Linked DNA regions of Cricetulus griseus. The protein of the gene in region 2 purifies or fractionates together with the protein of the main gene of each other region. This does not show direct contact. Links are inferred from orthologs where the notes say so. Each region holds a gene or a part of one and is shown on either strand. Other genes may lie near its edges.

The links.
Region 1: the proteins of Nepro (region 2) and Rpp30 purify together in Homo sapiens (affinity purification with mass spectrometry; 3 studies listed by BioGRID and IntAct, counting the BioPlex papers as one, with this or other methods). This does not show direct contact. The link is inferred for Cricetulus griseus from reciprocal best matches to the Homo sapiens genes RMP64 and RPP30.
Region 3: the proteins of Nepro (region 2) and Rpp25l purify together in Homo sapiens (affinity purification with mass spectrometry; 3 studies listed by BioGRID and IntAct, with this or other methods). This does not show direct contact. The link is inferred for Cricetulus griseus from reciprocal best matches to the Homo sapiens genes RMP64 and RPP25L.

What each region holds. Positions count from the first base shown.
Region 1 is NC_048596.1:25,690,663-25,695,727, reverse strand, and holds the start of Rpp30 (ribonuclease P protein subunit p30), read left to right. Parts: upstream 1-1,783; 5' UTR 1,784-1,849; coding exon 1,850-1,931; intron 1,932-3,156; coding exon 3,157-3,212; intron 3,213-4,972; coding exon 4,973-5,029; intron 5,030-5,065. UniProt on the Homo sapiens protein: Component of ribonuclease P, a ribonucleoprotein complex that generates mature tRNA molecules by cleaving their 5'-ends. Also a component of the MRP ribonuclease complex, which cleaves pre-rRNA sequences.
Region 2 is NC_048597.1:45,708,564-45,713,664, forward strand, and holds the end of Nepro (nucleolus and neural progenitor protein), read right to left. Parts: intron 3,644-5,101; coding exon 3,384-3,643; intron 1,944-3,383; exon of another isoform or gene 1,765-1,943; coding exon 1,299-1,764; 3' UTR 1,140-1,298; downstream 1-1,139. UniProt on the Homo sapiens protein: May play a role in cortex development as part of the Notch signaling pathway. Downstream of Notch may repress the expression of proneural genes and inhibit neuronal differentiation thereby maintaining neural progenitors.
Region 3 is NC_048595.1:100,887,372-100,891,664, forward strand, and holds Rpp25l (ribonuclease P protein subunit p25-like protein), read left to right. Parts: upstream 1-1,929; 5' UTR 1,930-1,966; coding exon 1,967-2,098; intron 2,099-2,114; exon of another isoform or gene 2,115-2,307; intron 2,308-2,513; coding exon 2,514-3,038; 3' UTR 3,039-3,311; downstream 3,312-4,293. Other genes in the region: Dctn3 (dynactin subunit 3), read left to right, coding at 42-101, 267-356. UniProt on the Homo sapiens protein: May be a component of ribonuclease P or MRP.

The DNA of each region.
Region 1 (5,065 bases), on a different chromosome or scaffold from region 2:
CTAATTCTTTGGTTGCTCAAATGTCAAAAGAAATAGATGTTGATTTAAGAAAAAACAATACTAATTGCTTTGAAAATTAATAAGACACACACACATAAGTACTTGCAAATGGTCTGCCCCAGTATAGTGCTCAATTATTTTCATCCGTTCATTTTATTTCTCACCCTTTCTCTTCCTCTTCAACAAAGCTCAGGGTATAGAGCAAAGGGATTCTAAATGGTGAAGTCCACAGCAACATCACCACGACTTTAAAACAAATATGTCCTCTTCAACCTAATCTCAGCATCAAATAATCAAAATTCTTAATCTTAACTTAGGTCCACTACACTATGGCCATACTACTGACCAATCCAGATTTTGCGATCATGTATGAAGATGCCTTTCTACTTGTACAAAAGCCAGCACTAGACATTCTGTTGAAAAGCCAGTGGTTTGTTTTGTATGACTTTGCTCTAGTGGCAGAAGTTGTTTTGCTGTTGTTTTGTTTGGGGGAAATACCAAACAAAACAACAATTTTTTTCTTTATGTAAATTAACCAAAGCTAGGTGTGGCAAAGCACAGCTGTGATCCCAACGCTCGGGATTCTGAGACAAGAAGATTGTGAATTTGAGCCCACCCTGGGCTACTAACAATAACCTGTTTCAAAATAACAATAATAATAATAATAAATATTCTCTCAAAAATCAGTAAGAAATTAGAGACCATTATGTTGAAGAGTATTACTCAAAGTGTGATCAGAGGGGAAGTCCTCATACTGTTTGCAATCAGTACAGAAATTGAAATGTTTCTAAACCTTTTCAGCACTTCGTTATTGTCCTAATGGTCAAGTCCTACTGATCGATAGACTTTTCTTATTTGAGAACCCAGCAGTTCAGATATCATATTACTGAGCTGCAGGAGGCTGGGGCAGCTTATTGGTAATGCATAAAGGATTCCCATGCTAGCCAGCCAGAGACAGAATGGAAAGGAGTAAAGAACTGCCCTTCTGCATCAAGTGGATTAAAAAGAATGCCAGCATTTTATGCCGTCGGATAATTGATCTGCCAATATTCAAAAGTTAATTTTTAAAGTAGAAACATCAAATGATATTGCAATATGTCTCATGAAAATTTGTGTATTGTCGCTAAGCTTTCATCTTTGAGAGTGCCCTGCCATCTTGTGGTTGTAGATGTTTCTATAACAGAGACCCATTATCTTAGGCTTAGCCCAAAGAACTAAAACAATCCGCCCCAGAGCAAGCGCTTCAAAGAGGCTTTTAAGCCCATTTTCAAAGAATGGAATGGACATTAGAGAAAGGAAAGAAAAACATTTTCCCATGTCTCTTCATGTGCTTATCAACTTACCTACTTTGGAGACTTATGTATCCCTCTCTGGCCTGGATGTCACCGTGTAGATCAGGATGGCCTCAAACTCATAGAGTTGCCTCAGCCCTCCAATTGCTGGAACTGAAGGCGTGGGCCACCACCCCAGGCTCACCCAGCTCTTGGAACAGGGCTTCACGACCTTAGACGTCTGCTTGATCTCAAAATGCTCTATGGGTGTGTTTAGAATGAATCACTTTCTACTCTGTTGTATTGGCGAGAGGGGCGGGGGGAAAGACCCTACTGTGTCTACCAAACATTCTCGTTCAAATCACGACAAAAAGGGAGTAAGTGAGGCTGTAGGTTCGAGCACACTAACTTTGGCTGGTTTCTAGAGGACAGGAAATACTGTGCAGAGAGTAGACGACTGAGAAGGGAAAAACCACAAATCCCAGGATGCCAAAGTGACAGCCTACAACTCCCAGCATGCTCGAGGAATAACAGGGCGACTGCGCAGATTGGCGCGCGGGTGCTCCTGGGACGTCAGCATGGCGGCGTTCGCAGATTTGGACCTAAGAGCGGGCTCGGACTTGAAGGCTCTTCGGGGACTGGTGGAGACCGCTGCTCACCGTGAGTCTACTGGCTTCGCCCCGCGAGCCCGGCCCCTCGCTGCCCCCATACCACCGGTTTGCTTGGTAGTTTTTCCAGGCCCTATTATTGGGTCTCTCGTGGGATTGCGGCATTTCCCTAGAGGCAAATGGTAGTTGCTATGTCTCCCGGATCCCTGGCGTGTGAAACTCACAGGCTACTGAGGAAGCTGCCGTTGCCTGGGCTTGCACAGTCTTTCCGTGCGGAGGGAGAGAACAGAGGCCAAAGGGGTCGAGGTGTTGGCAAGGGGGCTGTGAGCTGATGAATGGTAGGCTCTGGGACTGGACTCCAGGTGTACAGTCCCCTAAGCCGGTGGGTGCTTTTAACGTCAGTCCTTTTGGGCCCCGACGACATCTGACAAATACAGAAAGCTGGGTCGCAGGCAGGAACTGCTGTGGACTCTTAGAGAATGGGGAGGGTGTTACCTTATTTCTCCCGAGTTTTAAGTTCCTTGGGGATGAGCATTAATCATGTGTGCTGTCGCCTGCCATAGGGTCTGTCAAATAATGGATGCTCTAATAGCTTGAACTCGGGAGTTATTAGACTAGTTTGCCATTACCATGCACTATCTTTTATATTAATACTCTATCATCTTGTTGGTCTTTAGACAACTTAAAGACAAGAGTCGTGATTTAGATGTGTTGGCGACAGAGGCACTTTTCCAAGCAGTGCTAACTGTTGTGAGGATAAGGCAAACCGTCGTTTTCCCTGTCTTTTACTGTAGAGCACCTCAAAAGAGGTGTAAGGGATTCGTCCTTCCATTGCACCTTCGGGTAAGGGAGGAAATAGAGCATCGCAGAAGAAATGAATGATAATGAAGGTGACGGAAAGACACATAAACTTGATGGAATAAAAATGAACAAAGGGGCAGGAAATCCTGAGAATATTGTTTGGAAAGCAGAAACAAGGTGTTTTTAGTGTTTTGCTAGCATAAATCACAGCCTAAATATGTGCCTGGCACTCTTCTAAAATGCTTAATTTTCATGACACTCTGAAGTGCTGTCTGCTGTTAACATCACTTGACAGATGAACAACCTGAAACATAACAGTAAATATTATTAAACCCTCTTACTTTCCAAGTCTAGAAACAGAATCCAGGGCTTTGTGTATGCTAAGCAAGCATTCTAACACTTAGCTACATCCCTAACCTCATCTCATACTCTTGAACAAGAAAGAATATTTTTTAAATAATCTATTTTTTTTTCAGTTGGATATTCAGTTGTTGCCATCAATCATATTGTTGACTTTAAGGAAAAGAAACAGGTAAAATAAGATTTCTCTGATTAATTAGTAAATAAATATTAAGACTTTACAAGCCCAGCAGTGGTGGCACACGCCTTTAATCCCAGCACTCCAGAGGCAGAGGCAGGCAGATCTCTGAGTTCAAGGCCAGTCTGGTCTACAAAGCTACACAGAGAAACCCTATCCCAGAAAAAAATATCAAAAACAACATTTACAAATATTTGTATTTGTGTTGGGAATAAGGAACTAGAAATGTGGACTTGTTGCAATGACCACATACTTAACAAAAACAACACAAGGAAGGAGGAGTTTATTTTCTTATACTTTGAAGGTATGGCAGCAGGAGCATGAAGTGGCTAGTCACAGTTCCTCCTCGGTCAGGAAGCAGGAGATGAATGCTGGGGCTCAGCTCACTTTCTCCTTTTTAGTTAGTTCCCTTAGAACTCCAACCCATGAAATAGCTCAGTTTGCATTCAGGGTGGGTCTTCCCTCCTGGGTTAACCCTTTATGGAAACACCATTATAGAAATACAGAGGTGTGTTTCCATCATCATTTCTAAGTCCAGTAAAATTGGTAGTGAAGCATAAGTCATCACAAGCATGTTTGCGTTTTGAGACAGAATCTTATGTGTCCCAATCTGGCCTGGAATTCAACTGTGTTGCCAACGAAGACCTCCTGCTAAGATTACAAGCCCATGCCCAGTTTATGAGATGCAGGGGTAGAAGGCAAGGTGGTGTGCATTTTAGAAATCACTCTACCTCTACTTACTGAGCTGCCATGTGGCAAGTCTTCTCTGTACTGCTAGCTCCCAAATAGTGAGACTTCTTATTATGAAAACTTGGCCTTAGCTGAGGGTTGTTTCTAACTAGCTCTTATGACTTAACCCATTTCTGTTAATCATCGTGCTGCCATGTAGTTTATGGTTTTTACCTCTCCTCCTACACGTCATGCTTCTTCTGAGTCCAGCTGTGACTCCCCCTTCTTCCCAGAGTTCTCTCTGTCCAGAAGTCCCACCTATACCTTCTACATAGCTGTTGGTCATTTAATATTTATTAAAACACAGTGACATATCTTTACACAATGTAATCAAATACCTTGCAACACTGTGTCTCCACCCTCTCTACTCACTGGGCTGCATCCCCAACCCTCAACTATACTTCTTTAAAAACACCCTATGCTTACTCTTTTACAGTAATAACTGAACTAATATATATCATACAAATTCAAAGATGTTTAAAATTACATTGCTGTTAAATGAGCTATAACCACGATATCTTGTTACCATGGTCTTATTAACTCATTTACTGATTTTTTTCCCATTTATTTATTTATTTATTTATTTATTTATTTTTCCGAGACAGGGTTTCTCTGTGGCTTTGGAGGCTGTCCTGGAACTAGATCTTGTAGACCAGGCTGGTCTCAAACTCATAGAGATCCGCCTGCCTCTGTCTCCCGAGTGCTGGGATTAAAGGTGTGTGCCACCACCACACCTTTAATAGACTATCAAATACATATGTATGCATACTTATTTTTAATTAAACAACTGTACCTTATAGGTCATTTCTGTCTTTAAAAATTGTTCTTATTTTTATCCTCTGGTGTTCTGAGCATCTTCTCTGCTCTTTAGTTTCTTTCCTTAAGAAAGAAAAAGGCTGTTTAGTACATTTGAATACCAGAAATTAGCTTTTTTTGATTTTTTTTTTCTGAGATGCCCTTAAAGTGTTTTGTAGTGCTTAGTTCTTTAACATGTAACTAGGATTGCTGTTTATCATTTGTTGTAGGAAATTGAAAAGCCAGTAGCAGTTTCTGAACTCTTCACAACTTTACCAATTGTACAGGTAGGCGTTTTAGTGTTTAAGTGTAGTGTCTGCCCA
Region 2 (5,101 bases):
CAAACCTAAACACTGGTTGACACCGCAGTGAGTGTCAAGAAAAGACATGAGTTCTCATACCCTGCACTTAAAAAGACTGGAACACCTAATCTGAGATGCTAGGAACTGAAGTGTTTCAGATTACAGAATCTAACCATTTGCAGACTTTAATAGTAGACTGTCCCACGTCCAAGAGTCCCAAATCAGAAAGATTCCAAACTTGTAACTTTTTTGAGCCTGTTTATAGTCAAAATGTTCCAGAGCAGAAAGCAGTCATACTCAAGTTGGAAGTCCAGATTCTCAGCCCACCACCTCCACCTTTGAGGCAACAGTGTCCAGCTGTACCCTGATTTGCAGCTTGTGCTGTCATAGGACAACTGGTCACTACAGAGGGCAAGGGGAAGACTCCTGTGTTTTCTCCTAAGAAACTCAACCCTGGAATAGTTGAGGGCCAAGTGGATTTTCCATGACCATCATTTCTGGGAGCAGCTGTGCTGGTATATACAAAGTCACGTGATGATACTGATACCAGGTTATAAATTTATGATGGGCCTTATTCATACACTCACCTACTTCTTTGTTGCATTCCACAGAAACAAGAATAAAGGAAACTCCAAAAGCCTTGTAATATACAGTGACAAAGTGAAGATTAAACAAGTTTTAACCATTCGAGTAATAGCAAATTTTTTGATAATTCATTTCAGTAACATAACATACACTGGCATACACACACATTGTTATTCAAAAGAACCTGACATCTGAATTGCACCCTGGGACCTGCAGGTGGAAGGAGAGAACCACCTCTCACAAGTTATCCTCTGATATCCACAGACATGTGCACGCACACACACTCACACACACACACACACAAACTGTCAAAACTTTAAAAAGAGAATGGGGCCAGTGAGGCCAAGTAACCCTTTATGGTACTTCCTTGCTACTCCAACCTTGCTCCCTGTTTACCCTCAGATATGTAAGATTTTTCTGAACTTAAGATCTTAACTCCCTAGTAAATCATAAACTCATCTAATTTTCAGAAACCTACCTGCTTTAGTCAAGAAGGTACGGATTCAGGGTAGGCTGTGACAGACTTTTTATCATATTTCACAATCTACGCAGTCATAGTCAAATAAATACTAAGTGATTAACTGACACAGAGCAGCTGTTAAGTGTTTATTGAACTGGCAAGCACGCGTGTGGAATGCTGCAGAGAAGCAGCTCCTGGCCCCAGCAGTGTTTCCAGCTCTCAGCAGTTCCACTTAAAACAGCAGAACCCTGAACGATCTGGGTAACTGCCCAGAAGTTTCACATGTGCACATCTAAACTCCCATCAAAGCAAAAATATCATCAATGTCATCTGCCTCTTTAGCAGCTTGTGGCACACTGTGTGTGTGTGTTTGTCTGTTTGTCCACAAACCAGTTTCATTTCTACTGCCTGCTGTGAGATTCCCATGGAACCCCGGCTCCTTTGTTTTCAGGACAGACTTTGAAAGTCTTCTCAAGACCTGCTTTCTGTTAGGACAGACATCTGTCCTCTGAACTGTCCCACCTGAGCGGCTCCACTTAGCACTAGGGTCCCTAGTGCTCTTCAGAGTCCCTTCAGGTTCCTGCTGAGTTTCCTTTAAAAGAGTTGACTGTAACTTTCTCTGCGGTTTCCTCTGTCTCGATAAAACTTTATGCTTTGATCTTTTTTGTCTAGGAGAACACTTTGAAGTGCTGATAATGGAGCCTCGAAGAAGGCAGTTGCAAAGAGATGTTTTCATGCACTGTAGCTTCTTTGGCAAACTAAAGGACAGAAGAGAAAAATCTCAACTTATTATGATGCTAAAAAGTTATCAAGCACTTTTAACTGTCTGCACCAACTTCCAACAGAAAAGTACACCATTTGTTATAAGCCCTAGGCCTGTATGTATGTATGTATAACCTCAAATATACAAAATAAAGCAATGGGAGTTCCAACCTAAGAGTATGTTTTTCAAGCTGATTGCCTCTTCAGGATGCAGGCAAATGTGCCTCCATTATACCCTCAACACAATTCCCAATAACTACCTAACAAGGTCACAAATGGTGAGACACCTCCACATTTGAAAGGCATGGCCTTTCCCTTATGCTGATAATCAGTTCCTAGGGTAAACAAGTGGAAACTGCAAAATATCCCAAATGGGAAGCTCTAGAGTATGTCATAATGCATCTCTAGCTAAGTTCATGGCATAGATGAACAGAGCAAGGGAATAAAAGTGAAGAGGGAGGTCTTCCACTGAAGACAGACTGACAGCTGTCAGATACCCTGAGTGTGAGTTGTGCTGTACCCCCTTCAAGTCTGCAGTAGAACTCAGCTGATGAGTCTAGGCATTTGCTTCACTACCTTATGGCTTATTCTGGCCTTGGTAAACTACCTACTGCACTGTTGGTAAAGATTAACATGGCTCTATGTGCCTTACCCAAATCCCTTCATTCTTTAAAAAAAAAAAAAAAAAAAAAAAAAAATGCATAATCGTTTAAGGAAAACCTGTGTAATAACCAATTCATGACCCATTATAGCAGTGAGTTTTTATTGTGTAAAAAGTGGGTGCATCTCTGAGCTGAAACAAAAACAAGAATCAGAGGAACTGAATTGAGTTCTAGATCTCCAGTTCCAATACCTTGAGCAATACCACCTCTTTATGTACAAAATGGGAATGGCAATGCCTACTCTTCAGACTACTGTGGGCATTAAGTGTTTTACAAAATGTACTACAGAAAGAAAAAAAAAAAAAAAAAGAAAAGAAAAAAAAACATAGTAATAGGGTAATATGGTCACTATATTTTGGGAATTAGAGAGTAATAGTTTAAGCAATAAACCCGAGTTTGTTACCCCTCTTGCTAACTGTTCATCATTATGATTTGTGTCCTCATCGATCCTTGTAAGAACCACGATAAATTGAATATATCAATACGTGAGCATCCAGCTGCTATAAGCATCAAACCTGACCCTAATCCCTACAACCTGTGTGGGCCTCACAGGCAGAAGCACTCACTTCTCTGACTATCTCACCCAGCTGTGCTGATGCTGCCTAGAGAATGCTACCTCCCACTAGAAAATGAGTGCCTGAGGACTAAAACTGCTTGCTGCACGCTGTTGGCCCCAGGCTTTGAAGGCCCCAGGCAACCTTAATAATGCCTTCTGAAATGAACCAGCAGGAATGATGCGGTACAAATTAGTTAAGTCCAGTGAACTTGTCATTCATTTTCTGCCTCATGACACAACCTCCCAGATTCCATGAGCAACACACGCAACTATACTTTGAGTAGGTCTTATTTTAGCACCCCGAGGGCTGCTAGACATCCCACCTTAAACAAAGGCGGTAACGCACATACGTACATTTTCTTACCGAAAGGGGGGAGGAATTTTCTAACATACTTACCTATAACCTTGAGCTTCCACATGCCTAAGCCTGTTACTCTTGAGAAGTTTGTTGCCCAGATAGGTGGCCTGAGCCTTGAGCTTTTTGCTCCGGCACCACATGACTGCCGTTTGGATTTCCTCAGAAAGCTGGGTGAAAGTCTTGGTCACTCGGATTCTTTGCACAATATTGCTAGCCCAGAGAGTTCGTGTCAGTTTCTGAGAGGAAAGTTTGCTTGTCTTCAATCTGGATTGAGAACATTTAAACTCCCGGCTCGTCTCCTGAAATATAAAAAGGTGAGAAGGATACATTTAAAATGGTATTGACTTGTAAACAAAGAACAAGAATCTTGGAAAGCTGATTCATTTTTTTTTTTAATTTCAAATAATTAGTCTTGCCAGGTATTGGTGGCACACGCCTTTGATCCCAGCACTTGGGAGGCAGAGGTGGTGGATCTCTGTGAGTTCAACGTCAGTCTGGTCTACAGAGCGAGTTCCAGGACAACTTCGAAAGCAATACAGGATAAACCCTGTCATGAAAAACCAAAAAAAAAAAAAAAAGTTTTTTAATTCATTCTCCTAACACTACTTTTTTACCTCTCTACCAAGGCAGGTCCTATCTGCCTTTTAATTAAATGTACACAGAAAACCCAAAATAAAGCCAGGCAGTGGTGGCTTTAATCCCAGCACCTGGGAGGCAGATGTGGGTGAATCTGGTCTACAGAGCAAATTCCTGGACAGCCAGGGCTACACAAGAGAAACCTCATCTTGAAAAATCAAAAAGAAAAGAGAGAAAATCCAAGATACTCTCATACACATATGTGACATACAAAATAAAACGCTGATTAAATACTAGTCAAAGGATAATGATGGGGGGGGGGAATCACAAGTCTTTAACAATGACATCTCTGAACTACCTAGTTTGTTTGGAAGGTTGTTTTATTTGACTTTATTTCTTTTATTGAAGACTAAACTTAGGACCTTGCTCACATTTGGCAAGTGGTCTGTATCCCCAGCCCTTTTAAGGTTTTTATTCTGAGACAGGACTTCAACAAGTAACCCTTCAACAAGCAAGACTGAACTTGCCATCCTCCTGCCTCAGCCTCCTGAGTAGCAGGGATAACCGGCCTGTGCCAGCAGGACTGACTTGGACTCACTTGCTCTCCACTTATTCCTATCCCCACAGGAACAATCCTCAAGATGGGTCATAAACATCACTAAAAACAATAAAGATGGGAAGCCCTGGAAAGTGCCCCACACCATAGGGCTGTCAGCTAGTTGATGAACAGGACAAAATGATTAAGTGTGCGGTCTTCCTAACCTTGCACCGCTTTTAACAAGGCATCTTTATTTCTCCAGTCTCTTCTACAGCAAGTCAAGTTCGGATTTTACTAGCTTTTCTGACTTTATGAAGATTATTCCACCTACTAAGTCTACCCAAATTCCATTTAAAGCTTACTTTCTTTCCAAATCTGTGGAGGGACATGCCATTAATCCCCGCACTCAGGAAGCAGAGGCAGACAGGTCTCTATGAGGTCAGTCTGCTGGCCTATATTTGTTGAGTTCCAGGCCAGCCAGGGCTTCATAGTGAGACTCAGCCAAATAAATAGTAAGTAAATAAATTCCCACACTCAACAGGTACCTAAAGAAATAATTATGAATTAAAGACACTCTAGTATTGTTTTGTGATCAATAACTTGCTCTAAAAACAAGCTGCACCTATGAATGCCAATTAGAATA
Region 3 (4,293 bases), on a different chromosome or scaffold from region 2:
GCATTATTCCACTCCTTTCTAAGCTATGCTTTGGCCTACAGGACCAGTGTATGGAGATCAGTGAGGAGTCCAAGGCTCTCCTGGAGGAATATAACAAGACTGTATCTTTTGTGCTTAATGGGCCCTCTCCCAAAGCCTGTTTCTGCTGCCCCTAATGCGCCCATCCCATTCTCTCCTCTCCTCTCCTGCCTTCACCGCTTTGGGCACATGCCAAATCTCTGTGCTTCCTCATTCACACTCCTGTTGTCACCTTGACTTCTGACCAGACAATGCTTCTCTCCAAGCAATTCGTGCAGTGGGATGAACTACTCTGCCAGCTAGAGGCTGCCAAGCAAGTGAAGCCAGCAGAAGAATGACAGTTGCTTACTGTGCCAGGCCAGGGAAAGGGGGGCCAGCTCCAGGGCCCTGTGCCACCCTGTCTTTGTGAGGCAGAGACAGCTTTGTATTTATTCAATTCAAAGACTACCTGTCTGCTCAGTTGGGGCTCTGAGGTCAGAGATCAGGTTACCTTAGAGTCATGATTTGCACTCCCCATCAGTGTATTTATTCCAATGACAATAAACTGTAGCTACCGCTGAAGGTGTGTTTTGGCTTGCTGATCTAAGATGGGCTTGGCTGTGAGAACTGGAATGGTGAAGGGGAGAGCTGTCACTATCAGGGTGGGACCTGGAACTACTCCTGGTCGAGCTTCTGAAAGATGTAGTACTCTTGCATCTGATTGATACAGTGGGGCATTGTATATTTATCCCACATTTTCCAACTGCCCTCTAAATATCAGATCCTACGGCACGTAAGGAGGGCACAGGTAGGGTCACCTCATTTCTGTATAGGGTTTGGGGGAAGACCAAGAAAGTGGTAGTCCTACCAGGTGGGGCTCAGCATGCCAGGATGATCATGGAGGAACAAGCAGGGACGTTCAGAGCCAAGGCAGCATAGCCTTGTGTCTACCGAATACCAGAAGAGGAGCCAAGAGGCTTGGATGCAGTGAATTTTAGGATCTGGGAAGGAGGAGCAGATGATGGGAAAGCTTGGATGAACAGTTTAAGCACCGCGCTCCACCAAGTGTATGCTGCCCTCTTGTGGCCTGAGGGAGTGCCTCGGCTCCTTCAACTGCCTGTAGACCAACCAATTTGTAGTTTTGCTGGCACGCAAAATGCAGCTTGTCCAAAACGATCTGAAACTAGCAGTCATCCTAGACTATTCCAACAAATAGTTCCCGGCTCTTTCCCAGAACTTCCTACGAGTTTTTACCAAGTTAATTAATCTCTTCTCAATTCTTGCCATTTCGGTGGTTAATCAACATGTTGGACAGATGTTGCAGAACCTGTTTCACTCTGAGTACTGTACTAGGTTCCGTGGGCACCCTCCTACCCCCGCGCCTGACGCGTTATGATGGTGCAGGGTACAGACCCTTCCCAAGGTCACGGTATCTGTTGCCCCCACTACCGGATCCTCCTAGCCTATACGCCAATCTATGGCCAATGAGTTGTGCACAAGTTATGGCTTAGTCCCTTCTGAAGACTACCAGGGTTGTCCAGTGCCCCAGGATGAGAACAAAGCTCAGAACTAAGGGTCTCGCCCGCTTGTATCCACCAATGCTTCAGCTTCTCCTTCACCGATGCGGTGAGTCAACAGGTGACGCGCACCATCCATCGTTTAAGGGCACAGATTCGCATTCTTCATGCTCAGGACTCCTCCGATAGCCATTCCTCTCCCGGGCAGGGCCCTCTGCGGGTTCTGGCGTGCTTCGGCATCACCGCGGACCGCGGGATGCGGGCCAGCTGCGGGTACCAGCTCAGCTGAGCCCAACGGCGTCCCGGGTTTCCCTCAGGCCCCGCCCCCTGCGTGCGCGCTCCCGCGGCCCCGTGCGCTCCCGGTCTGCGCGCCATCTTGGGTCGAGCGTGGACGGGCGGTAGTGGTAAGAGCCAAATCCCAGGGCCTGGGTACTCAGACGTGGGGAAAGGGGATGTCTGCTGCCTGGGACAGCGGCCCACGACCGGGGAGCCCGCCAGACCGTCCATGTTTGGTCCGAGCAGTGGTCTGTGCGAGCCCCCACTCTCGAGTTCCCGAATGGCCTGGCTCAAGCCCCCCAACCCTGGTAATCTAAGGATGAAGTCTACTCAGCCGGCCGAGAGCCCGGAGGGGCCGGTTCTTTCTTTAGGGAGTACTTTGTGAGAGTTCGTGGCTGTGCCCCAGGCAGCCTGGGGCCAAGTCTTGATTCTGTTTCCTGGAAGCACACAGTGAGAGGAGCTTGTCCGAGTCCTTGGAAGCCTAGTGAGGAAAGGCTCCTGTTTTAGAGAGTTGTGGGTGAGGAGGGGTCTGGCCTAGCCCTGAAAAGCTTGAGCTGATGAAGCATGGCCCTATCCCGGATAGCCTGGTTTGGGGAGTGGGGGGAGTTTGGTTCTTTCCGTGTGTAAGACTCTCCAGCCTTGGGGTGAGGGGTATATCCTGGAGGGAGTGATGGAGGATGGACCTGGTCATAGTCCTGACACTCATCTGACCGCTTCCCCCAGTGCACAGCAAGAGAGATTCACCAAGGCCACCGGAGCAGAATGGAACACTACCGGAGGGCTGGCTCTGTAGAGCTCCCAGCATCTTCACCAATGCCCCAGCTACCTCCTGACACCCTGGAAATGCGAGTCCGAGATGGGAGCAAAATCCGAAACCTGCTAGGACTGGCTTTGGGTCGTTTGGAGGGGGGGAGCACAAGGCATGTGGTGTTCTCAGGCTCTGGCCGGGCAGCTGGGAAGGCTGTCAGCTGTGCAGAGATTGTCAAACGGCGGGTCCCAGGCCTCCACCAACTCACCAAGCTTCGTTTCCTGCAAACTGAGGACAGCTGGGTCCCAACCTCACCAGACACAGGCCTAGACCCCCTCACAGTTCGACGTCACGTGCCTGCAGTGTGGGTGCTACTCAGTCGGGACCCCTTGGACCCCAGTGAATGTGGCTACCAACCCCCGGGAGCGCCCCCAGGCCTGGGCTCCATACCTAGCTGTGGTCCCAGACCCCGAAGAAGGGCTCGGGACACCCGGTCCTGAAGACCTGCTGAGCCTGACTGTACTCTAGACCTGATTCTCTGTGCCTTCTGTAAGAAGGGCTTGTGTGACACTTAACATGCCAGCAAGGCTTGAGTCCACTGGAGTCCTGCCTCCCCTCCCCCCTGGGATGCGGGATGCTATGAAGAATGAAGGGCATATGGGGTCAGTGCTGAGTTACAGACTGCTTGAGAAGGGCTTACTCTGTCTACAGTATATCTGACTTGCCTTTTTTGACATCAGTCTAGGAGAGGGAAATAAAGGTCATGCCCATTTGTTTGGCCTGCTTGTGTGTAAGTGGGATTGGAGGGGTGTGAGGCCCGCCTTGCCCCGGAGCTCATGGCCTGGAGGCCAGAAGGGTAGGTAGAGGCCGCTGCTGGGTGGATCTGGTGTCAATACATTTCAAGCAGTCACCTGCATGACTTTTTGCCACCTGCTTTAAGCTGGCTTGGGACTCAACCAGGTCAGGCATTTCTCCCATCTGTGTCATATGTTTTAGAATAGTGGGATCATGAACTCGGGCTTTGCCTGTCACGGTTTTAGTCCTGGCTCTCCCACTCACAAGTTACTGCTTTGTAGTTTTGGATAAAGCTACTTCCTGGACCTTTGTGCTCCCATCTGTAAAATGGGGTGTAGAGGGTTTACCTCATTGGCATTCTTTTTTAATAATTTATGTTCATTGGTGTGAAGATGACAGATTTCCTGGAGCTGGAGTTACATACAATTGTGAGCTGCCATGTGTGTGCTGAGAATTGAACCCAGGACCTCTGAAACAGCAGCCAGTGCTCTTAACTGCTGAGCCATCTCCAGTCCGCCCCCCCCCCATTAGAGTTCTTATAAAGAGGTGTCCATATTTGACACTCAGATACCACCTGAGCACCTGATGCTATATAAATGTTGTAAGTGACTTAAGTTTACAGACATGCTGTTTTTTATCTTGAAAGTAGACCTCAATCCCACATCTTTCTTTGGGTGTCATTCTTGCCTTTTTTCCATTGCTGTTTTTTTCTGCCTCACTTTGGCCTTGGATTCAGATTTACTGCAGGTATCTGAAGAGAGAGAATGGTTATATTGGTAGTCAGCAGGCTCCAGGTAATAGAGTGGAATTGTAAGCGGCAGTGGTCTCAAGAGTTGATCAGCTACACTGTGAATCAAGATTTTCTCCAGGGTGTCTAGTAACCTGGATGTCCAATTACACGCAAATAAAACTGGGGCTCTGTTGGGTTCATGTAGCAGGATCCAGCTAGTTGAAGGTGTT